Stegostoma tigrinum: one gene and its partner. The protein of the gene in region 2 purifies or fractionates together with the protein of the main gene of each other region. This does not show direct contact. Links are inferred from orthologs where the notes say so. Each region holds a gene or a part of one and is shown on either strand. Other genes may lie near its edges.

Region 1 (11,743 bases), on a different chromosome or scaffold from region 2:
CAGTATGTAATAGCCCCACTTTACAAATTAAAAGATCACCCAAAATTAAATCACAGCGAGTGATTATTTTAAGCAATTCATTTAAATGTGTAAGGTCTTGATGTACAATGAACTAACAGTACAAGGGTTTAGAAGTAAATCAGAACCCTATTTCCTCAACCCGTGGAGTGTCATTCTGGGGTATTTAAATTGATATGGAGTTTGAGCGTTATTATTTATTCAGTTATTAATATTTGAACCGCCTAGAACATTTCCAGATATATTGAATGATGTATTTCTGTTACATTTAGGATGCCTGATGTTTGATTCACGCTGGATTTTGTTCTCCAGAGATGCACAACGTGATAAATGCAGCAATTTTCTCCAATGGGCAGCTTTGAAGAACATGGCAATTTCAAGCTGCTGGATGTTATTTAGTGTAATAAGAAATAAAACGATCCTATTTCTGAAATAACAGTGTCTATCATCAGTTGAACTACACTGAAAAGGTAATTGTTTCCTGATGATAGATCCATTACAGCCGATCCTGGCCTAAAATCATCCAATGCACCGTGAAAATGAAGGACGAAATCGGTGTTTGCACCTTAATCACCAGAGTAAGTTTGTGCCTAGACCAATAGCTGTTTTCCGCACTCAATCGAGCCAGCCTCTGGCCCTAGTCATTGAATTCTCAGTTGCAAAGGCTACATCACCTCATTTTAGATAGTTTTAGTTCCTCCCTACCAACAATTACAATCAGAGGGAAACAGTTGAATTCAGCACTCGGGGACATTGTAATTACCTGTTTTAAGAGGACTTAAAATTGTAGCTAAATTGTGTGTGTGATTTATAAAAATCATTTTCGATGTCGTTTCTCTTTCTATGAAATATTTCTGAGTGTTAATATTGGCGTACGACGATGAAAAATGCGACAATGCGTTCAATAGTTTTAAAACAATGCATTTACGCAAGGCAGAACATCACAGGTTCAAAGTATGTTAGTCTTATTATTATTTTGACTTGCTGCTGAAGATCGATTATACATAACAGTGTTGGTCGCGGGTCCATGGGAAATATCGTCAACAGTCCCACATGGGGACACACAACTTGTTTACAGTACTGTTAGTCACTGGTTTGTTATACCTGTCGATCCGGAATAATCCATCATCACTAGACGATGTAGATTATAATGTGTTAATGATTAACATCGTTCCAATGTAAGCATCATTATATGCGTGAAAAGAAATGCGAAGGTTTCTGAAATAACCAATTAGTATGTTTTCATTTAGTTATTATCGCTCATGCTCACAACCTAATTGTACAAAGACGAGTGGAAGCAATATTCCACCACTGGCATTTCTATTCTGATGGGAAGTTAAACATTTATCGGGGAAAAATACATCCAGTCAAAAAAATAATGTAATAGACAAGGGACGTTTAGAAAGCGAAGCGGCGTCGTGGTATAGTTTTCAAAAGTGCTCATTTATTAGGAGTTTACAAAAGGGAATCTAATGCAGGAAAGGCCAAAGGCACTCAGACAGTGGCTGTACCATACAATGTATCCTATTAACTCAGGTTGTAACTCTTAAAAGATGGTGGCAGCCGATGATTCCGTGTAAGCGCCGTTTTAGCTCTGACATTATTTATAGAGCTGACTAATAGCGCTAACAGTGGAAACCAGGGCTAATTAAGCATCCTCTCGGATGCTCGCACCATTTGACCTGTGTTGCTATCGCTGTCCTGGAGTGTAAATGGGAAAAGAGAGGACGGGGGTTAACTAACTGAACCGATCTACATAAGAAGCTTTGTTTATAGTTTATTAAACATACAGCTTGAATAGACTAATCACCTGCATGTTACATATGTTTGACTACCAATCTGTCATTATGAACAACGCTTTCACTTTTATGTTTTGGGAGATTCAGAACGCTACAAGAGTTCTAACGCGAAAAACCCATTCCTCAGTTTGGCAGCTGTTACAGCGGAAACAGTGAGAAAGTAGCAAATGTTATGAAGCAAAAGTATTCAAAAATATTACTATGTGTTTAAGATACTATATATTAATAATTAAGAATGGTAAGAGCATTACGCAATATTGAATATTAGTTGAAATATTATTTTACGAGATGGATTTTTAATATTATTCGGGAGTACTTTGGAGGAAATACAGCCTCGTGTCTACATGAGCGAAAGCTATTTTAATGAGTTTCAACGAGTTTACACAGATTATAGTGATTGACGAGATTATGTGGCAGATCCCAACATCACACTCAACTTTTTATTATGTTGTCGACTTGCGACACAACATGAACAAAGTAAATTTGAATGCACAACGCGGATATTATTTATTTCTTTAATGTATTATGAACAACTGTTGATATGTATCATGATTATACTTGTATATCACGTTTCTACAATTTTAAGGGCCTATACTAAATGTTCCACATCAACGTTTTGTCCAACTAATTACAGTTACATTTATTGTCGATTCGTCTTTGTGAGGTTGTTGATCACGATCTTTTATTTTGTTGCGAAGATCTGCCTGGAGTAAAGTGAAACAGATGCTCCTGTGTTTGTCAGCTGTTACTGTTTGTAAAAGGTCAAAGTAGGAGGCAGAGAAGGACCAGGCAACGAAGCAATTAAGAAGAGAAGGCAGAATGTTGCAGACTGGCTCCAAATGTATACAAGAGAGATGGGGGAGTCGGGGGGGGGGGGGGGGGTGGTGAGGTATAGAAGTAGCTCTGCGGTTAAAAAAAAATCAAAGGAACTTTATACTCTACATTAACATAGTTATTTATTCATTGAATTTTTGTTTCTATCTATATCCAGCACACATAAGATATTCACTTAAGAAGGGGTCATTATTCCAAGGGAACTGAACAATAAGATATTCTTTTCTTTAGTCAAATAGATTCAGTTTATCTTGATTCGGTTATCTAATTTGTTGCCTAATCGTGACATAATTACTGAAGTTATATAATTGCATGAATGTATAAACTCCTTTTTAACTTTACACAGATGGTATCTTGTGAATAGACGCAAAAGTTGATTTTTAAACGATATGTTTAGGCTTTAATAGGTGCCAAATCTCATTGTCTCAAGAAGTATTGCAGAGTTTCGGAAATAGGCACAAACGATCCGAATCTCTTTACGGGGAATCCTAATGACGTTAACAGACCTATTTACCAATTAGATCCTAGGAACGTTGTGCTTTAGTCTTTGATAGGAAACAGTTTCTTGCATTTCGTGAACAATTTCTGTTCATTTAAGAAACAGAGTAATCTAACAGCCCGCAACGCACCACATACATGATCACATCGGAGGGTTAAATACGTGTATTTCAATATTGCACTCACCCTACCGAGTTGTAATTCTAGACCCAAATAAATATTGTTGTGTCATTTACATATACAGGCTCAGATATTTTCATTGCTTGGGGGATGATCAGATATTGGGAACACTTTTCATGAAACGAAAGTTAGCAGAAATGTCTAATCAGCTTCTATGTAAGTAACATATATAAGGTTCAGTGATTTCATTGAAATGTTACGGCTGTCATTATTGATGCAGGTCCAAACGTGCATAACATAAAATAGAATATAAGTACAAAGTGCAGGACGTGATTTGCCGACCCTCTACATATTGGCATAAGTTGTGCAGTATTTTGCAATATAATGAAGATATGCTGCATTGAGGAGTTCAGATGTGAATCTTCTGATATTTGTTTGCTCTTGACAAAGTTTGCCTCAGCGGCAATCTGTCATAACCCCATGACTACATGCTACTGACTTTTACGTTGTCTATCAATTTAATATGTCCTCTAGTAAAATAATACTGCTCAGTTACACCAATATCATCCAGGCATCCTTTTCTGAACTGAGTGGTTAGCTACCTTTTGTAGTTTAAAAGCACGCCTTTTTGTTTTTGAGCTGTAGCTCCCAATAACAGCGAACATCCTACAATTTTCTAATTATTTACAATTACTGCAGTGACACAAATCCACCTGCTAAACGTATATTACAATTTAACCATTTGGGTAATTATCTCTTTTACAGCAGTGAATAAATTTTCCGGGTTAGGCTGAAATAATAACTACATCCTGTAACTTATCATTGTAGTCGCGCACAGAGAGAATTGGACCAGACGGGTTTGAAACAAATGGTCCGCTATTGGAAGCAAAACTAGATATTAAAATGTTATGCATTTTCTTATTTGTGTTTTTGCTATATTTATGATTGGATGTTTGCTATTTCCAACATTTATAAAGATTTGTGATCAGGAAATGAAAACAAATTTAAAATATCTTACAAGGTGCTCACATTGAAATAACAACAGGAATAGATATATATTCATCAAAATATAATACTGGATTTAGTGCAAAGTCTGCTCAGAGTGTATTTATGCATAGTATTTGTTGAAAATGCTCAAAACCAAAAAGAAGAACATTACTCAATGATCAGGGAATTAACCTTTAGGAATCTATATACAATGAACTGATATACAAAGAACCTTAAAACATAAAACAGTACTTGGTGTGAAATTAAATCTCTGATGATTATTTTGTATAACCTAAATGATACCTCCAAGCTTGACATTTTTACTTCTGTGAGAGCATTAATCCAAGTGAAGGATTTTGTCCTCTTTCGATCTCACTCAGAAATGTCAAAAGATAATTACGCAAGAAATGGAAGATGTGACACCAAGATGCAATGGAGAATGTAAGACCTTCATATTTCAGATGCCCAGGTGGAAAATGTAACATATCCTGCTGGGCAAAAAGAGTGGTGGGCAGTTAAACAGAATGGATCAAATTCCCACTCTGTACTCATTTTAAAGTGCCAATTTGTCAAGTGTATTCATACAAATCAGAGTACTATTATTTCAATGGGGCTCTGTCATCATGTTAACTAAGAAACCTGCAGAATGCCCATAGTGAATCCCTTCATAATAAGAATATGGTCTATAAGACAAAGAGGCATTTCCAACCTTAAAATTTGTCTTTATGGGGCCAGAAGGAAAAGGGGTACTGGAAGCTCAACTGCGCCCTCACCTATATCTTAGTGAGGAGTCTCTGGAACACCCAAACACTTCATTTTAAGTGGGTGAGAACTCACAGTGAAATGTTACCATGAAGTGACTTTGGACTTTGAACCTCAACCAGGATGGGCATTGGTGGGACTCTTAACCATGGGGTGGCAGCTGATTAATCCAAATAATGACCACTTAAGGCCACTTAAAAAGACCAGATGGGATTTTCCAGTCAACAAGCTAGTTTCACTGTATGGAGGTAACCTCTGCTTGGTTCAGAGGGTCGTCTTCTGTTTGGGCACAGCAGCGGGTACCAATTGCACTTTAGAGTGATTCCAACTCATTGCACATCACCTTCCCCAAGTTTGTAAAGACAATTACTTATTTTGTGTCTTCAAAGAAGTGTAGAAGGGGCAGGTCCAAATTGAAGTAGGCACTCCCTCATATATCTGTAATGGTATTCTGTTGCTGCCTGCAATTCTGAAGGCCTTTATTGGCCTTTCAATTTTGAGATAGTATCTGGAATCCTTAACGAAATGCTGAGCACGTCCTCTGGCTATTCAACAGCAAATCGTATTGATTGACGGTTTATCACACAGTGAAGGCATTTGAACTCCTTCTCCCCCTTTGGCTCCAGAGTGCAGAAGAAACTCTGGGTCAATCTTGCCCATGGCTGTTAAAATTGACAGGACATTCTACTGTGGCTGTCGGACCAATTGCATGCGAAGCCACTCTTGAGGAGAAGATAAAATTTTCATTTCAGAGTTTCTTACATGGATATTCAGATTAGGGTGAACATAGACAGATGTCGAGTAGGGCTCTTGCCACCCTGCCGCAGCATCCTCTATTGTATCAGTATGCCATTTATTTGATATACCACTCCATTGTTGGCTGTCCGCCTCAAGTCTCTTAACTATTGATTCAAGGGTCTACCGGACTAATTTCAGATTATTCGGCTGTCCGGTTCAGTTGAATGTATTTGGGCGGGGAGTGATTGATGAGAACGGTGGAAGGTACCGGCAGCTTTGCCACTGCTATGAGCCTTTTGGGGAGGGGGGTCGGAATTCGGGCCTGGGTGCAGTTGCTATGGCAACGCAGCAAACCGGCGCCGGCCGTGTCGGACATGGCGGCCAGCGATCCGGCCTTCCTGGCGAGATTAGGCGAACTGCAGCGGCAACTGCACGGCAGGTGAGCTCTGAGTCTTCTTTTTCGCCCAACCCTTTCGGACCCCGCACGGTTACGGGGTTGTCTCGGAAGAACGGAAAGCCCGTTTCCCCTTCCTGGCAGCGGCCTCCTGCCCGCAGGCCTTGCGTGAAGCCTCGGACTCGAGTTGGAGGCTAACCTGCGCTCGTGTTAAGTAGTCGCCCGTCGGGGTTTTCCAGCCATTCGCAGTTGCACCGTTTAGTTTGGCATGGATCAGAAACTCATCTGTACTTGAAGAGCTCTGGCTCGTTCTTCAAAACGAGACACAACCAGATGCAGGTTCCATCTTTGACTAAGAGGGACAGTGAAAATTGTACCAACATTGTGACATCTCGAATGCTCCAATGGTTTTTAAAATTCAGGGCAGTACTTTTAAATGTATAGTCGTGCTTGTAATCAAATAAACGGGGCGGTCTCGTGATGCTGGTGCCTTTAAAAATCACAGTCTGACTTTTCAAATTTTCTGTTGAGAACTCTTCCGTCCTACTTCAAGAAGTGCTATGAAACTTTTGCATCCATGTGGCGTCGAAATTATTGAGACCTGACTCGTCCGTCTTCCATCTGTGCGATTGAGAATTTCCTAAATTCCATAACTCAGAATCCTGCAATCCTTCAGCTCTGAGCTTCTTTTGCACACTGTTACACCTTTTTTATAAACTGTATATGTCCTGCCTTCAGTTATTTGAGCACTAAACTCTGAAATAACCTCCCTAAATCTCTCTGCCTTTTCAGTTCCTTAACATCTACGTCTTTGATTAAGTGTTTAGTCTTGTGTCCTAATATTTCTCTCTTTAGATTGTTGCTACGTTTTGTCTGGTTACACTCCTGTGAAGTGCCTTGGAACATTTTCCATGTGACTCCGTTGCGTGGCTTTAAAGTTGTCAGGATCCCGCAGTGAGAACTGACAAGGCTGTGCCGGTTAGAAGGGCCTGTTTTAACTTGGTGAGAGCATTATGGCAGGCTTTGAAGCTTATGACTCCAAAAGTATCAGCTCCCACTGGAGGTCCCAATCCCCACTTTGGAAAGCCTTATCCTTTACTAAAGAAACTACTGATTATTAATAGAAATTCCAGTGACATTGATATATACTTAACATTCCTGAAGGTGTGGACAGTAATGGCAAGGCCAGCATTTATTATTCATCCAAAATTTTCCTTGGAATGATGGTGGCTAGCCACCTCCTTGGATCATTGCGGTCATTATTGTGCAGGTGCTCCCATTGTACTGTTAGGGAAGGAGTTCCAGAATTGTGACCCTTGGAGGTGACTTTACAGGTGGTGATATTCCTGTACACTTGTAGCCGTTGTTCTTCTAACTGTTGATGGTTGTAGTTTGGAAGATGTTGAAGGAGTATTGTATGTCACTGCAGTGCATCTAGTAAGAGGATGTTTGAATTAGAATGCTAAATTTATTAGAAATCTGTAGTTTATTAAATGATTATAGTGGAGAGTGTTGTAAAATATATATCAAACAGATTGAGTCATACTTCAGTCAAACTTTAACGACATTGCTAATTTTCACACTACCTGTTTTCTTTGATTTTACCAATGCTTTCACCAGTATGGGATAGCCATCTTTTGAAGCTTAGAAAAGTGAAAAATGTTTTATCCAATTGAGAATGGCAAGTGTTTAATTCCTTCCGTGAGTGTTCTGGATCTTTTTCGAATACAGCTTCAGTCCTGGGAAGGTGATGCTGAAAATGATGATTATCCAGTAGTTGTGCCATTTATTTTCAGGGTGCTAGCTAGTGATAGCTCAAGCAGCGCATATTCGCAATCCCTGGTGCTTATTTATTCTAAATGTGCCTTAACATTAAATGCACTGGTATGCCAGTGTAACCACCAACATGATTTACTGAATAAATTTGTGGAAAAATTCCAGATGTCATTTTTGCATTTGAAAGGTGATTAGTTTTCAAAATAATGATCCAGTAACTAAAATATCACACAAAGTAGTAGTATGCCTAAGTACATTCTCACTGTAATTACAACAAAAATAATGGTTGCAATTTGTGCCTAGTTAGATTTTTAAGGTAATCTTTGACATTCCAGTTTTCACAATGTTTTCTCAAGTGCAGTAAACAAATAAAAAGTGTTGGAGAAATTCAGCAGGTCGGGTAAAATCTAGGAAAAGCAAAACAGCTAATGTTTTGAGACCAAATTATTCTTCTTTGGCGCTGTGGTATTTTGCTTTTTTGTTAGGCAGGTTTTACATGATAAAGTACTTCTTAAAAATTTGCAAATAGATGACACAGAATACAAAAGTTGGTAATTTTTTTTACTTGGATACTTCTCACAAGATCAACATTTTAAAAATATTTTCTAACGCTCAGAGCTTGGACCCCAGAAAGAAGGATTGGGGGCAAAGTAATGTAAATAATATGAAAGAAGATCAAAAGTTGCTGCACGTACTGGGTTCAGAAAGCATCTGTGGTGAGAATAACGCAGTTAACATTTAAGATCAATGATCTTTTGCCAAAACTCTTTGATGAAAAGGTGGAGACCTGAAGCTTTAAATCTGTTTTTCTTTCAACTGGTGCTACATGACCTGCTGAGTATTTACAGCATTTTTGGGTTTTCAATTCATAAAAAAACTTGTTCATCATTGACAGTTGACTTATATAGCATTTTTGCACAATTTCAATAATTTGGTCTTCACTCCTATCTCCCTTTCAAGGAAAACTCACTTCTCCATCATATTGTGACATGCAGAAAACAGTTTATACCTTAAAAATAAAAAAAAGTGCTTTTCCCCTGGTGGTTTCATATCACATCACATCGACATTCTCCAAAAATAATGTCCTTGAACAGTACGTGACGCCAGAAAATACCACTTTAATTACATCTTAAGCCCAACATCCCATTATAACAAGTTATAACTTTGGAGCTCAAATATCTTTATATTGATCTGCTTTAATTTCGTCGAATTCCACTTAACCAATTTTTTGGCAGTCCTATCTCAGCACCATTGTCTACTGATAGCACTTCTGGATAAATGCTGCTGCCACTGTCTTCAGAACTATAATTCATCCAAGAAATGATGCTTCTTCCTCTTTAAGAGCAATATTTATAACCACTGCAGCAGCCCATCTAAGAAAACACAATCTTGTTACTCTGATGGGACAGCAAAAGAGCAGTAGCAGAGTGGATCTTTACAATCCTAATTTCTTAAGTCAGTTGTAAAAAATAAATGAAGGAGCAGAAGTATGTATATTAATTTAATATATTTGGATTTACATACTTTACTTTCTTGCTTGCAGGAATCAAAAAATGTTTTTTTTCTTGAAATGGGCCACAGTTGTTTTTTGTTCATTTGGGATCCCAGCAGTTAGCATTACAGACAAATGGAGAAGGTAGTATGTGAAGTTTCACTGTTAACAGGCAGTGTTGAAGCTGTTCTAGTATTGGTGTGAAAAACCACGAAATAAAAGGAACAGTATTAAATATGATTCAATTAATTGTTTTTGCCAGTTTGATTCTGGGGGATTAGGTCACTTCATACTTGGTTAAGGATTAATTGTTCTTATGAGGCATAATGCCAATGAGTACGTTAATTTTGAAAGAGAGCCTCTGCTGCTTCATTGGACATACGTACAGTATATTTAGTGAACTATAGAGGTGAGGGTAGTCTGATGTTGATCCTTAGTCAATGCTAAATTGCACCATTTCAGTTTAATTGACAGCAAGGGCATTGTGAATGGTTTTGTTCTAAAATTGGAGAAATTAACAAGGTTTCTTGCTGTTGACCACATTCTAGTGCTCTTGAAAGTGCACTGTGGACATCAACTGAGGATAGTGTAACATGTGGATGTGATTGGTCTCCCACCCGATATTTCATTGGTCCCTCCCACACATGAACAGTGACATCTTGTACCAGATATTGATGGTAGAAGTGCAGTTGGATCTTGCAATGGGTTTGCAATCTTCAGGAAAAAAGGACTAAGGGTAACTTCCAATTCAGGCTCTAATTTAAGTAAGTTTTAATATAATCTTTACCTCTCCAATCTCTTATTTTTGTTCACTTGTTCATGTGGAATTTTCCTGTTCTGATAATCTGTATCTCCTTTCAAGTTTAAGTTGAGACATGCAAGTTTCAGTTCCAACTCTAGCATTTGATTAAACAAGTAAAAAACTGTAAAAGTAAACTTGTATTGAAGTAAAGATTTCAGTTCAATAAATTTTAAGGTATGTCTCAGCAGCATTAGTATGTAATTACATTGTTATGACAGGAGGAAATTAAACACACAGTTAAAATAGTTGGCAAAATATGTTTTTTTGGCATGAAACTATATCTCACTTCAATTAAAATGTAGTTAACTAATTTTCACTGCAGCAGCAAGGAGCCAATTACAAGGTTTTCTTGAGTGAAAGAAAAAGATATTTTATTATCTGCTACTCTGAGAAAAATAATGAAGACAAGACTTCAAGCATATACACACGAGGTATAAAGCTAAAAAGGTATAGCTTCCAATATAAAAGGAAGATGAAAGAAAGTCCTTTGTGTGCTGAGGTGTAAGATTTTAATCATTACTTTTAGATCATTAGTAGAAGTGAACATATTCGTTATCCTTTGAATTCTTGGTGTTCTGATGTTTCTTCTTAACCTTTATTATTATTGGTTTTCTTATTGAAAGAGAGAACTTTTTCAGCTAATTTTGTTTTGTGGTCAAAAATCCATCTCTTGCGTTCTTTCTGCCAAAAGCAGCTGCATGAAATACAAGATAACAAAGTATGAGGCTGGATGAACACAGCAGGCCAAGCAGCATCTTAGGAGCACTTGTTTGTGTATTTAAATGTCTGAATTCATTGTCTTCAAGTTTGATGATTGCAAGTATTGCTTTTATCTCTGACGTGCAAACATTCTTATCAAGGTGTAAAATAAAATTTAGAGAGGACGGTCTTTTCATGTTTCCTTGGGGAGGGTGTTTAATAGCTTCCTTGGATAAAAAAGTTAGTTTCAGTTTATCTGCCTGTCGTCTACTTGAACTTGAAAAAAGACCACATGGTGGAGTTAGGCCTGAGACCATTTTAAGTTAGTGTTTTTGATTCCCTTCTAAAAACTAATTTCAGTCCATGAAAGCCACAGGCATTCAAAAATCAGTAGTCTATATTTAATACCATCATGACAGCACAGATAACATTTCAGTATTGTACTTATTCAGTTTTGTTGCATGTGGCTGTTAAGACATTAAAATTAGGTCACCCCTATCTTTTCATGTTAAAGCTAAAAATCATTTTACATTATTGAAGAATAACATTGGGTCTTGCATGGCTATGTATCCTGAACAATATTCTTTGCTGAAAAAGGGCAACCAAGTTGACGAAGTGGCTATCACCTTACAGAAACTAGTAAATTACTGCTTTTTGGGAATGGAATGCCTCCTGTATTTGCCTACAGTGGAACATTGAGTACACTTCAATATAATTTATTTAAATGTAATATAATTAAAGTACTTTGGAAAACTTGGGAGGAATTATGAGATTTTATAAAAATTTTTAATCTAAATGTAAACCTCTACCTTCACATAGTTAAC
Region 2 (12,521 bases):
TGATGCCCACAAAAAAAGGGGTCAGTTTGCTCAGTTGCGCAGATGGCTGGTTTGTAATGCAGAGTGATGCCAACAGTGTGCGTTCAATTCCCATACTTGCTGAGATTGCCACGAAGGACATTCATTCTCAAACTCTTCCCTCACATCACAATGACCCCCAGGTTAAAGAACTTATACTTATCTCTCTCTTATGAGAACAGCCCTACAATCTGGTAAGCCAATGGAGAGTTTACCTTTAGTAAACAGCTTGCTGTACTATCAACTACTCAATGTACATTTTCAAAGCAATTGGACAATCAGCCTACTTAAGTGTGATCCCAAATTAATATTGGTGTAGGATAGTTAGAAGCACCAACTTTAAAATGTAATATTTTGGCCCACTCTATGTACGCGCACGCTAATAATTTTTAAAAACGCTTAGCATTGAAAAAGCAAATAGGGACAAAAATAGTGCCTTGATCTGTTTCAGCATTCTATCTTTCAACAAATTTCAGATCACAACATAATTTGAAAATTGAATTTCACAAGCTAATATTCTGGTATCTAACAACTTGTTACATTCAAAATATGTCTTATCCTAAGATGCGGATACCCCACTTTAAATCTCCACAGCTTCACAAGTACAACAAAGAACAGCACAGCACAGGAACAGGCCCTTTGGCGCACCAAGGCTGCACCAATACATGATGCTTTTCTAAACTAGAAAACTTTTGCCTCTACCCGGTCTGTAATCCCCTATTCCCTAGTTATATATCTGTCAAGTTGCCTCTGAAACAACGCTATGTATTCATCTCCATCACCGTAGCACATTACGGGCACTTACAACCCTCTGTGTAAAAATCTTGCCTCTCATATCTCCTTTAAAAACCTATCCCCTTTTACCTTAACCTTATATTCCCTAGTACTTGGCATTTCTACCCTGGGAAAAAGATTCTGACTATCCATGCCTGTCATTATTTTGTAAGAACTCTCTGATGAAGGGTCTAGGCCCGAAACGTCAGCTTTTGTGCTCCTGAGATGCTGCTTGGCCTGCTGTGTTCATCCAGCTCCACACTTTGTTATCTTGGATTCTCCAGCATCTGCAGTTCCCATTATCACTGATATTACTTTGTAAGCTTCTATTAGGTCATCCCTCATTCTTCAACATTAAAGTGAAAACAAAGTTTGTCCAATCTCTCCTCATAGCTAATACCCTGCAAACCAGGCAACATCCCGGTACTCTGTTTCTGTACTCTCTCCAAAGCCTCCACATCATTCTGGCATTGTGGTAAATGGAACTATACACAACATTCCAAATGTGACTTATCTAAAATTCTGTACAGCTGCAAAATGACTTGCCAATTTTTATACTCTATACTCCCACCAAAGAAGACACGCATGCCAAATGCCTTCTTGACCACCTTATCCACTTGTGTTGCCACTTTCAGGGAATTATGAACCTGTATACCCAGATCCCACAGTGTGTTAATGCTATAGTTCCCTACTTTTTTCGTTCAAAGTACATCACCTCGCCTTTGTCCGGATTAAACTCCATCTGCCAATTTTTCCACCCAATTCTCCAGTCTCTCTCTCTAACCTCTGGAAATCCAACTCATTATCAGCAGTTTGCCCAATCTTTGTTTCATCTGTAAACCTACCAGTCAAACCACCTATATTCTGCTCCAAATCATATTATAAACAACAGGGGTCACTGCACTGATACCTGCGGAACACCACTGGTCACGGATCTCCAGTCAGAAAAACACACTTATGCTGCCATTTTGTCATCTCCGACTGAGGCTACATCTGTATCTATCTCACCAGTTATTACAGATCCGACATGACTTCAACTTTGTTTTGTCAACCAGCCATGAGAGACATCTTCAAAGGCCTGGCCTAAGGCTATGTAGACAACATCTTCTGCCCTCCCCTCATCGAACATGTTTGTCACTTTCTCAAAAAAGTCAATCAGGATGGTGAGACATGACCTTCCCTGCATAAAGAAATGCTGCCTAATTGAAAAAGTTGAATCTGTAAATGACATTACAACAATCTTAAAAATGTTGAAAGTACACCTTAATTAACATTGTACGTACAAAGACAGGGGAACATTTTTAGAATAATCCCTTGGAGCTGAAAAGTAGCTACTCTTCTTGCTATTATTATAAAATTAATATGCTAAAATACTTCCATTTTTCTTTCAAACAAGTGGCAGCTTGTTCAACTCATCCACACCATGGGAAATAGGAACAGGGGTAGGCCATTTGAGCCTGTTGCAACGTTTAAGAGAATCACCGCTGATCTAAAACTCCCAGTAATCTACAGATTTCCAGCATCCACAGTCAATTTGTTGCTGTATCTACAATAGAACCCAATTCTCTTTTGTAAAACAAAAAGCAGTTTCAATAAAAGATTGCAGCTAGACGTCCTTTCTTACATAGAGTCACATAGCATGGAAACATTCCTTTCCATCCAAGAATTCCATGCTGAATATAATCCCAAACTAAACTAGTCCCACCTGCTGCTCCTGGCCCATATCCCTCCGTACAGTTTTTTAAACCTTTCTCCTCTCAACTTAAAAATATGCACCCTAGACTTGAAATCCCCCCATCCTTGAGAAAAGATAAATACCATTAACTCTATTCATACCCCTCATTATTTTTTAAACTTCTGTTAAAGATCCCCTCTTAGCCTCCTATCCAGCCTTTCTTTATAACTCAAGCCTTCCATATACAGTAACAATCTAGCAAATCTCTTCGGAACCCTTTGCAGCTTGATAATATCCCTCCTATAACTGGGCAACCAGAACTGGGCACAGTTCAGTACAACCTCAACATGATTTCCCAACTCCAAAACCCAAAAGCCTGAGCAATGAAGGCTAGCGTGCCACAAGCCTTTTTAACCTCTGTGTCTACAAGGGGACGCAGGCTTCCAGAATTATGTACTTACACCCCCATTCTACAATACTATACAAATGCGGATGCTGAAAATCTGAGATAAAAACTGAATTGGCTGCTCTGGCAGCATTTGTGGAAACAGAAACAACTTAATGGCTACAGTTCTGGCTGATACCCCCATCCATTTAGAAGGTTCCCCTGGAGACCAGGAGAGTGGAGGTGGGTGGGTTCCCCTGGAGATGAGGCTGGAAGGGTCAAGGCCAAGTTTCCCTGGAGATGGAGTGGGAAGAAGCCGGGCCGGGATCCCCAGGTCAGAAATCACACGAGAACAGATTATGGTCCAACACGTTTATTTGAAAACACAAGCTTTCAGAGTCTTACTCCTTCTTCAGGTGTTAGTGAGAGAGGTAATATCATACACAGAACTTATAAGAAAAAGATCAAAGGGTCACATCACTGATGAGGATGTGCTCCACAAACCTAAGATACTGTTAAATATTTAATCAATTAGAATGTTTTAATTGATTAATATATACATAAATCAATGAATTTCTTTCAAGTGACTATCCTGTAAGAAATATTGGTTTCAGCAGTGTAGACAAGAGTGACATTTTAGGTCAGACAATGCACGTTAGGTGTAGGAATAAAACTAGTCTGACTCTGAACCAAAACATGAACAGAATCTAAGCCTCTGATGCTGCCTGGCCTGTTGTGCTCCTCCAGCTCCCTACTGTATTATCTCTGACTTCAGTATCTGCAGTTTTTGCTATCACACCCCTAACAATCAATGTCTGACATGAAACGTCACTTCTTCTTTACACTGATGAAACCGTTAGTTCTCTCAGGGCACAGACTTGAAAGGAATTCAGGGATTTACATATTACTATTAATCAGTTAAAACCTTCTGACTGATTAAAGATTTAAGAGCATCTCAGTTGTGTTTAGCACATCCTGATCTGTGGTTGCGATCCTTTGACATTTTGCTTATGAATTCAGCATCTGTCGTCACTTGCCTCACTAACATCTGAAGAACGAGCGATGCTGTGACAGCTTGTGTTTTCAAATAAACCTATTGGACTATAACCTGGTGTTGCATGATTTCTCAACCTGTCCACCCCGGTCCAACAACAGCACCTCCACATCAGGGAACCCTGGAGGAAGAGTTAGGTAAGAGCGGGGCTCCGATCCCTTGGAGACGGGGCTGAGGGCGGAGCTCCGATCCCTTGGAGACGGGGCTGAGGGCTGAGCCTGGTTTCCCGGGAGACGGGGATGGGGGCGGGTCTCCCACCCCTTTGGGCGGCGGGCCACGGGGAGGATGCGGGGCCTGGTTCACCGGGAGACGGCTTTTGGGGCGGGCCCAGATCACCTTGGAAACGAGGCGTGGCCAGCGGGCACTGACCTGACGACAAAAGGCTCTGGTGGGTCTCCCCGCCCACGTACTCCTCCTCCTCCCCACCACAACAAACCGACACCGACCGCAGTTAAATACGAGACGTCACCTTCATAAAATCAATCACCGCACAATCCTCCGCTGTCCACCGTTTTATTTAACCGACGCTTTTACACCGGGCCCGCCCGCGCACCCTCCCTCACACACACACCTTCTTCTGCCGAACAACTCGAGTCGATTTCTTTTTTGAAAAACCGCCGAACAGCTCGCTGTCGTCACCAAATTGAACCTTCCGGGAGGAAAAAAATAACCTCGACTGGAGTTCCGCGGGAGGATCTTATTTCGCGGCCCCACTCCCTCCCTCGAGAGACCAGACTGTTTCCTGTCAGTGTTTGTTTATTTACCCCTCCCACCCCAACCCACGGCTATTTATTGCGGCTGAAGCGATTTGCAGAACATCGAAGGCAGCTTTCAAGACGAATCTAATTCTTCGGTAAGTTTGTACAAGCACATCGGTAGCACATTGAATAGTAGTTGTAACAGAGCGCGAAGTAACTTCTTGGCCCGTCCAGGAGGTTAACATCAGGCTGACGCCCTGTGATTTTTGTTTGACATTAGTGCAGTCGTTGCTTTAAACTTCACCAGAGACAGGAAGGTGGGTATAGGGGCTTGGGGCATAGGAGAGGGAATGGGTGTCTGGAAAGACGGTGGGATAAATGGCCTAGAATGGGGTGAGAATGGGAATAGAGTTTAAGATATTGAGGCCCGGTTGGGGGATTGGGTCAAGAGTGAAGCTGGGATTGTAGTGGTCACAATAAGGTCAGCCCTGTGGACCTCAGAATGTGAGTTCCCTGATTGGGGCTGTTAAGCTGGTCCAATCAGGGAGCCTAGGCTGACACAAAAAACAGGCATCGCAGGGGCTTTGTATCACAGATAATAGGAACCGGAGATGCTGGAGAGTCCGAGATAATGAGGTGTGGAGGTGGATGAACACAGCAGGCCAAGCAGCATCTCAGGAGCAGGAAAGCTGACATTTCGGGCCCAGACCCTTCATCAGAAATGGGGGAGAAATAGTCGAGAGTGGGGGAGGCGGATCGAAGATGGAGAGGTGATAGAGGAGGCAGACAAGTCAAAGAGGCAGGGATGGAGCAAGTGAGTGTAGGTGGGGAGGTACGGACGAGATAGGTCAGTCCAGGGAGGATGGACAGGTCAAGGGGGTGGGATGAGGTTAGTAGGTAGGAAATGGGGGTGCTGTTTGATGTGGGAGGAGGGGATAGGTGAGAGGAAGAACAGGTTAGGGAGGTGGGGACGAGCTGGGCTGGTTTTGGGATGCGGTGGGGGAGTGGAGATTTTGAAGCTTGTGAAATCCACATTAATACCATTGGGCTGCAAGGTTCCCAAGCAGAATATGAGTTGCTGTTCCTGCAACCTTCGGGTGGCATCATTGTGGCACTGCAGGAGGCCCAGGATGGACGTGTTGTCAGGAATGGGAGAGGGAGTTGAAATGGTTCACGACTGGGAGGTGCAGTTGTTTACTGCGAACCGAGTAGCAGTGTTCTGCAAAACGATCCTCAAGCTCCCACTTGGTTTCCCCGATGTAGAGGAGGCTACAACAGGAACAGCGGATACAATCTACCACATTAGCAGATATGCAGGTGAGCATCTGCTTGGTGTGGGAGCGGGGGGGGGGGGGGGGGGCGTTGTTAACTGTGATGATGCACATTTTTTGGTGACTGGCAGCCGTCTGGGGAAGGGATGCTGAAACTGAGGCCATGCAATGATATCTCTCAGAATCATTTAAAAGGGTATCCAGCAACGGAGCTCTTGGTGCCAAAATGATAATAACAACTTCCTTGGAGATGTCAAACGTAGGATAGGCTGGAGTCAGGAAGAGAGATGCATGTCTGCTGTTTGCATGTGGTGATGTAATTGGTGCTTAGAGAAAAGAAATTACATTTCACACAGATTTTCTCTCACTGCTCCAGTTTTTCTTTGACAAGGTTGCTAAGGTTAAGCCATTTGTAGGAAATTGCCAAGGCATCCGAGCAGTGAATAGAACAACAGGATTGTGCTCAGTGAATCAGGATGTCTGCTCACTCTAATGGAGTGTAAATTAGGGGCTGAAGCCTGGAGTTAGGTGTAGTTGGAATAGGGGCAAGGAACATTGAAGAGTGTGGAAAGATGCTGAGTGGATATAAACACTCAGGATCACTTGGAGTTGAAATAGAAGCCATGGCCGGCATGTAGATAGGAACCTGTTGGGATACTATGTAAGGGGACAGAGACCCAGATAGAGAAGGAGTAAGGAGTGAAGAACCAGGGTTGTGAAATTTTCCCAGGGGAATGGTTACAATAGTTTGAAACTTTAGGAACAAGTGATTTTGATTTATTTTATAGAACATAGAACATAGAACAGTACAGCACAGAACAGGCCCTTCAGCCCACAATGTTGTGCCGACCATTGATCCTCATGTATGCACCCTCAAATTTCTGTGACCATATACATGTCCAGCAGTCTCTTAAATGACCCCAATGACCTTGCTTCCACAACTGCTGCTGGCAACGCATTCCATGCTCTCACAACTCTCTGCGTAAAGAACCTGCCTCTGACATCCCCTCTATACTTTCCACCAACCAGCTTAAAACTATGACCCCTCGTGCTAGCCATTTCTGCCCTGGGAAATAGTCTCTGGCTATCAACTCTATCTATGCCTCTCATTATCTTGTATACCTCAATTAGGTCCCCTCTCCTCCTTTTCTCCAATGAAAAGAGACCGAGCTCAGTCAACCTCTCTTCATAAGATAAGCCCTCCAGTCCAGGCAGCATCCTGGTAAACCTCCTCTGAACCCTCTCCAAAGCATCCACATCTTTCCTATAATAGGGCGCCCAGAACTGGACGCAGTATTCCAAGTTACGTTTGGTCATGACTTGTTTCTCCAATGCATGCAAGTGTTATAACATAATTCATTATATTTTATAATCTATAATCCAAAATTGGTGTTTCCTGTATATAAATATTTTTAAAGTGTATGTTTCTTCAACTCCATCCCATTTATCATGGTTTTGCAAATGTAGTATGAAGCCTTATGGACCAGTTTCTTATGTGTTTACATATAAACATAGTTTGCTGAAAGATTTTCACAAGACTTTGATTCCCTTTTACAGGTAATTAAAAAGTTTAGCAATCACTATTGCAAAACTCCTATAAATATTGTACTGTTACATAAATAAATGTATATATCCTGTTATATGTGACTGTAAGAATGCATCACAATCATAAGCATTGTTACAGTTGTAATATGGGCTGTTACTTCTCACATAATTTCTAAATTATTAGTCCTTTAACAGCTGCTCTTGTGTCTTTACCCACAAGGGAAGTTAAGATTATAGCAATCAAAGAAAATGGTAACAGTGATATTGAATTTTTGTTGAGCTGGGCATAAAGCACATATTAAAACACAGCCGTGTTTAGGGATCTCAAAAGCAAGTTACTAAGAAATTGATTCCAGTAGAATCTCTGGAGATTGAAAACATTATACATTTATTTAAAACAATTGTGCAAACATAAAACGAGCAACTGCAGGCCTGGCCAATTTAATCTTGGTGGCACGAAGCCGTTAGAAATGATAATCTGTTGTAAGGTTAACAGTCACCTAAACAAGGATGGATTAATTAAAGAAAACCACACACCTGTGGGAGCAGGTGGAACTTGAATCTAGACCTCCTGGCTCAGAGCTAGGGACACTACCACCATGCCACAAAATTCCCAGACACATTTATTCAAAGTAATTTGCATTTAGCTAACTTGGTTGAATTGATTTGAAATACGGAAGATGGATAGGGTTAATGTATTGTAAGTGAGCTTTGCTGTGATCCTGCAGAGGTGCATGACCAAATGGAGCATATATTCCCAATATAATATGGTCACCATGATCCATCTGTGCATGTGCAATTGCATGCATCATGTCACATCAGTCTCCCATTCCTTAGATGACATGTCCATCCTGGGCCTCCTGCAGTGCCATAATAATGCTACCCGTAGGTTGCAGGAACAGCAACTCGTATTCCGCTTGGGAACCCTGCAGCCCAATGGTATCAAAGTGGACTTCACCAGCTTCAAAATCTCCCCCCCCCCCCCCCCCCCCCCCCCCCACTGCATCCCAAAACCAGCCCAGCTCATCCCGCCTCCCTAACCTGTTCTTCCTCTGACCTATCCCCTCCTCCCACCTCAAGCTGCATCTGTATTTCTTACCTTCTAACCTCATCTCACCCCCTTAACCTGTCCGTCCTCCCCGGACTGGTCTATCCCCTCCCTACCTCCACGCCCACAATCTCCTCCCCACCTATCTTCTCTATCCATCTTCGGTCAGCCTCCCCCTCTCTCCCTATTTATTTCAGAATCTTCTCTCCATCCCCCTTTTCTGATGAAGGGTCTAGGCCTGAAACCTCAGCTTTTGTGTTCCTAAGATGCTGCTTGGCCTGCTGTGTTCATCCAGCTCCACACTTTTTATGTCACATCAGCTCCTATTTTCTAACCATGCAGGCTTTTAATTCAGATGATCCAATTCATTAATTTAAGTATAGAGCAAAAGGCAAGCTGTCTAGCTACAGATTATCCATCAGAAACAGAAGAGACTCAATGAGAAACCAGAAGGCACTGCCATGCACATAAAGCACAGACTTCATTCACAATCTGATGTGATTGAGGTTCCTTCCTATTTTTCATATTTTTTTTGATGTATTACCGTTAGGACTGGAATACGTCGTTCTATTCTGAAAACAGCAAAGTCTTTGTGTACCACCTTTAACACTGGAAACATCCAAAATTCTTCATGGGGTGAATCCATAATAAATGAACATTGAACCAAAAGAAGTGTCTATTGCGCATTTCCACGTAGTTGGCTCCATGTTGCATTGGCACAAGGTGGCATTAGCCACAAATGCATCCTCCAAAAAAGACCCTAATGAGAAAACCAATGGGCAATCAATGACATGCCTCTGATGTGAAATCTATATTGTAATCAAGAGGTGAAAGCCAATTTTTGTGCAAGGAGCCAGAAATGATATTCTGATAATGACCAGATGATCTATTTACTAGCAACATTAATTTGGAAAAAACTTGTTGACTAGGATACCAGGGAGAACAAGCCGTACCTCCACTGCTTTTTGGTTTGTAATATGTCACCTCTTACTTTCATCTGAGAAGACAGATGGACCTCAGTTTATCAGGCAGCAATCTCTTTTTCTATGTTGGGTTCACCCTTCATTATTGAAAGGAACCATGATGTAAAGTAAAATTCATGGAAGTGCAGAAGGAGATCACATAATTGCTTAAGAGAACATCTTGATCCCAATGTGCAATCCCCAACTCTGGCTAAAAGCCCAGTGACGAACCGGCCAAAGGGATGAACAGCTATCCTGCTGTCATTAATGGTCATTTAAATAGACTGGAGGCAGGATTTCCACCCCATAGGAACAAGAAGCTCCATCAGTGATCTGCTGTCCAATTTTGTGTTTGGCATCTCTGGAGTCCCAGCAACATAAAGGTGTGAAGGGTAGGAAAACAGGCTGTTCCCAGTGGAGATTTCTGCTAGAAGCAGACACCAGTGTGAATTGGGGAGACATTGGGAAGACCTTGCATTTGGTTTAATGATATCCCCAATTTTCAAACCTGGAGAAAAATCAGACATTGAATTTAATTTCAGGCATCATGTGTTGAAAGTCCCACAGTACTCCAGAAATATCTGCTGAGGTTATGTGCCCAAATCTTAGTATGTGGTGTGAATCCACAGCCTTCTAACTCGAGGGAGTGCAGTGGATTGAGCTAAACTTGACATCGAAAAGGTTCCCTCATAATACTGAGTTGTGATCCAGAACTTGCTGCACCCCTAGCAAAGTGTTTCAGCATAGCTCCAGCATCGGCATCTACTGGGCCATGGTGATGAATGCCCAGAAATGGCCTTTACTCAAAAAACAGGATAAATCCAACACCGCCAGTTACTGTCCCTGAGGCTAATCTTGATCGTCAGTAAATTATGGATGGGGTCACCAGCAGTGCTTTCAAGCAGCACTGATTTAGTAATAATAACTTACTGACCAACAGTTTGGGTTCTGCCTGGACGGCCAGCTCCTAACCTCTAGGAATTCCTGTGCATGTCTATGTTTGGCTTGGACAACGTAACTATAGTAGCCCAAGTCAAACAAAGACATGCACGGGAATTCCTAGAGGCATGGTTCTTAACCAGTAATGCAGTCAACAAACATATAGAATTGTACCCCATGTACAAACCCATACAGATCAAAACTGAAAATTACACTAATCATCATAATGGGCCAGACAGTATAAATTCCAATTGGAGTAGAACAACATCCTTTCATTGGAGGCCTCACTGATGATATTACCTAGCATAGTGATGAAACGTCTGAGCGAAAACAAGGCAGCTCCGTGAGTAAGTCAACAACGTCAGTAATTTAGGTTAATAAAAGGAGAAGAATAGCTTCACATTCATGATGAATTCTTAAAGTGAACACTTTGAAAAATGATATGCAGTACTGATATCTATATGGTCATTTAAAATCCAATAGTAGACATAATTTCCAACTTTACACAAATATCTGTCATTTCCACTTTAGCTATTCAAACATCGTGCCACCAATTCTTCTTATTCACTGTGCTTCACTTTCTTGTCCCTTGAACCATGAAAGAGCTTGTATGAACCTCATTTGTCTCCAGTAACTGCTGGTACTTGTCCATCACAATGGTTGTCATTTTCCTTGTATTGCATCCAGAGTGGGTTTTGTTCACAGTTGCAATATTATGCCAAACATTTTAGATAATAGTCATTTTGTCATTTATTGTTGAATGCTGATGTTGTTTCTTTTGTTAGAAGATACATTAATGTTGTTTCAGGAACAAAGAATATAAAATTAAAAATTTAAAAGGCCAAATTATTGATTCCTATTTTGCAAAAGCACTGCATTTATTGGAGTGTTTCCAAGGCAACCAACTTTTTTTTCATAGATGACAATGCACATGATTTATAACAGTATTCCCTTGTATTTATATAGCATGTCTAACATAATAAAAATATCCCAAGTTACGGGATCTGGATTGCAGAATTTACGTCCTTATTTTTCTTCTCTGTTGCCGCTTAGCGTCTTCTTTACAACATTGTGATTCAAAGCATGAATCAGTGTGATGGACAAGTCACTACCATTCTGTATGATAGACAATAAGTTCATCCTAAAGGCTGACAGGCTTCCAGTGAGAGTTTCAGGGTGCCTTTGAACACTAAACAAAAACAAAACTGCAGATGCTGGAATCAGAAACAAAAAAAAACAAAAATTGCTGGGAAAGCTCAGCAGGACTTTGCAAAGAGGTAGCTGCCAAAGTATGGAAAGTATTTAACATATTCCAGAGTTTTCTCTTCAGCACTTAGAAATTGAACATTTGGCGGACCAGTAATTGGAGAGAAAAACTGGCTTGCAAATCTGGTGAAGAGTGGTACCACTGCAGTGATCACAAACTGTAGAGCATGTGTATGTATGGTTGCCGTATCAGCTTTGGCTGGTATTTAATAATGACACCAGAAGATAATTGATTTTTAAGCTGAGCAGTTACAGTCAGGTAATTGTAAATGGTATGGAGTCTAACACACAACTTTCCTTGACCCGAGTCTGTATTTTGAAGGAATCTTTTTCAGGTCTCCCATTCAAGACAGTTGCAATCATTTCATTGTGGAGCAATTCTAGGACTGCCACATCTTTGGAGTACAAGTCAAAAGGCCTCACAATTTAGACACATAATTTAAACATTGACAAGGTACTTACTCCAACTTGTTATTGCATTTAGTACACTTTGAAAGTGTGTGAGCTAGTGAGTGAGCTTAGCTCTTTCTACCAAAATAAATGGCGCAGTTTAAATGTTGATATTGACAACTTTGAAATTGTTGTTAATACAATTTGCTTTTGGTTATGTCTCTTTTTAAATCAACTTGTTTTGACATTTATAACACACCTACAAGAAACATGGAACTTGGACCCAGCATTCTGGCCCAGAAGTAGGGATTATCTTTACGATTATCTCTTACTGGGTGGCATAAACCACTGCCCAATTTAAATGTGGATGGTTTGTAATTATTATTAACAATTACTAATGCATTATTTGAAACTCTGTGGAGCTCTTTCAGATATATTGATGTGATAATATATACTATATACATACAAGTTGTTTTCTTGGACTTTGTCATGACTT

The links.
Region 1: the proteins of sclt1 (region 2) and kiz purify together in Homo sapiens (co-immunoprecipitation; 3 studies listed by BioGRID and IntAct, counting the BioPlex papers as one, with this or other methods). This does not show direct contact. The link is inferred for Stegostoma tigrinum from reciprocal best matches to the Homo sapiens genes SCLT1 and KIZ.

The regions. Positions count from the first base shown.
Region 1 is NC_081362.1:13,528,689-13,540,431, reverse strand, and holds the start of kiz (centrosomal protein kizuna), read left to right. Parts: upstream 1-6,092; 5' UTR 6,093-6,093; coding exon of another isoform or gene 6,094-6,130; coding exon 6,131-6,195; intron 6,196-11,743. UniProt on the Homo sapiens protein: Centrosomal protein required for establishing a robust mitotic centrosome architecture that can endure the forces that converge on the centrosomes during spindle formation. Required for stabilizing the expanded pericentriolar material around the centriole.
Region 2 is NC_081354.1:19,946,317-19,958,837, forward strand, and holds the start of sclt1 (sodium channel and clathrin linker 1), read right to left. Parts: upstream 4,608-12,521; 5' UTR 4,478-4,607; exon of another isoform or gene 4,190-4,477; intron 1-4,189. UniProt on the Homo sapiens protein: Adapter protein that links SCN10A to clathrin. Regulates SCN10A channel activity, possibly by promoting channel internalization.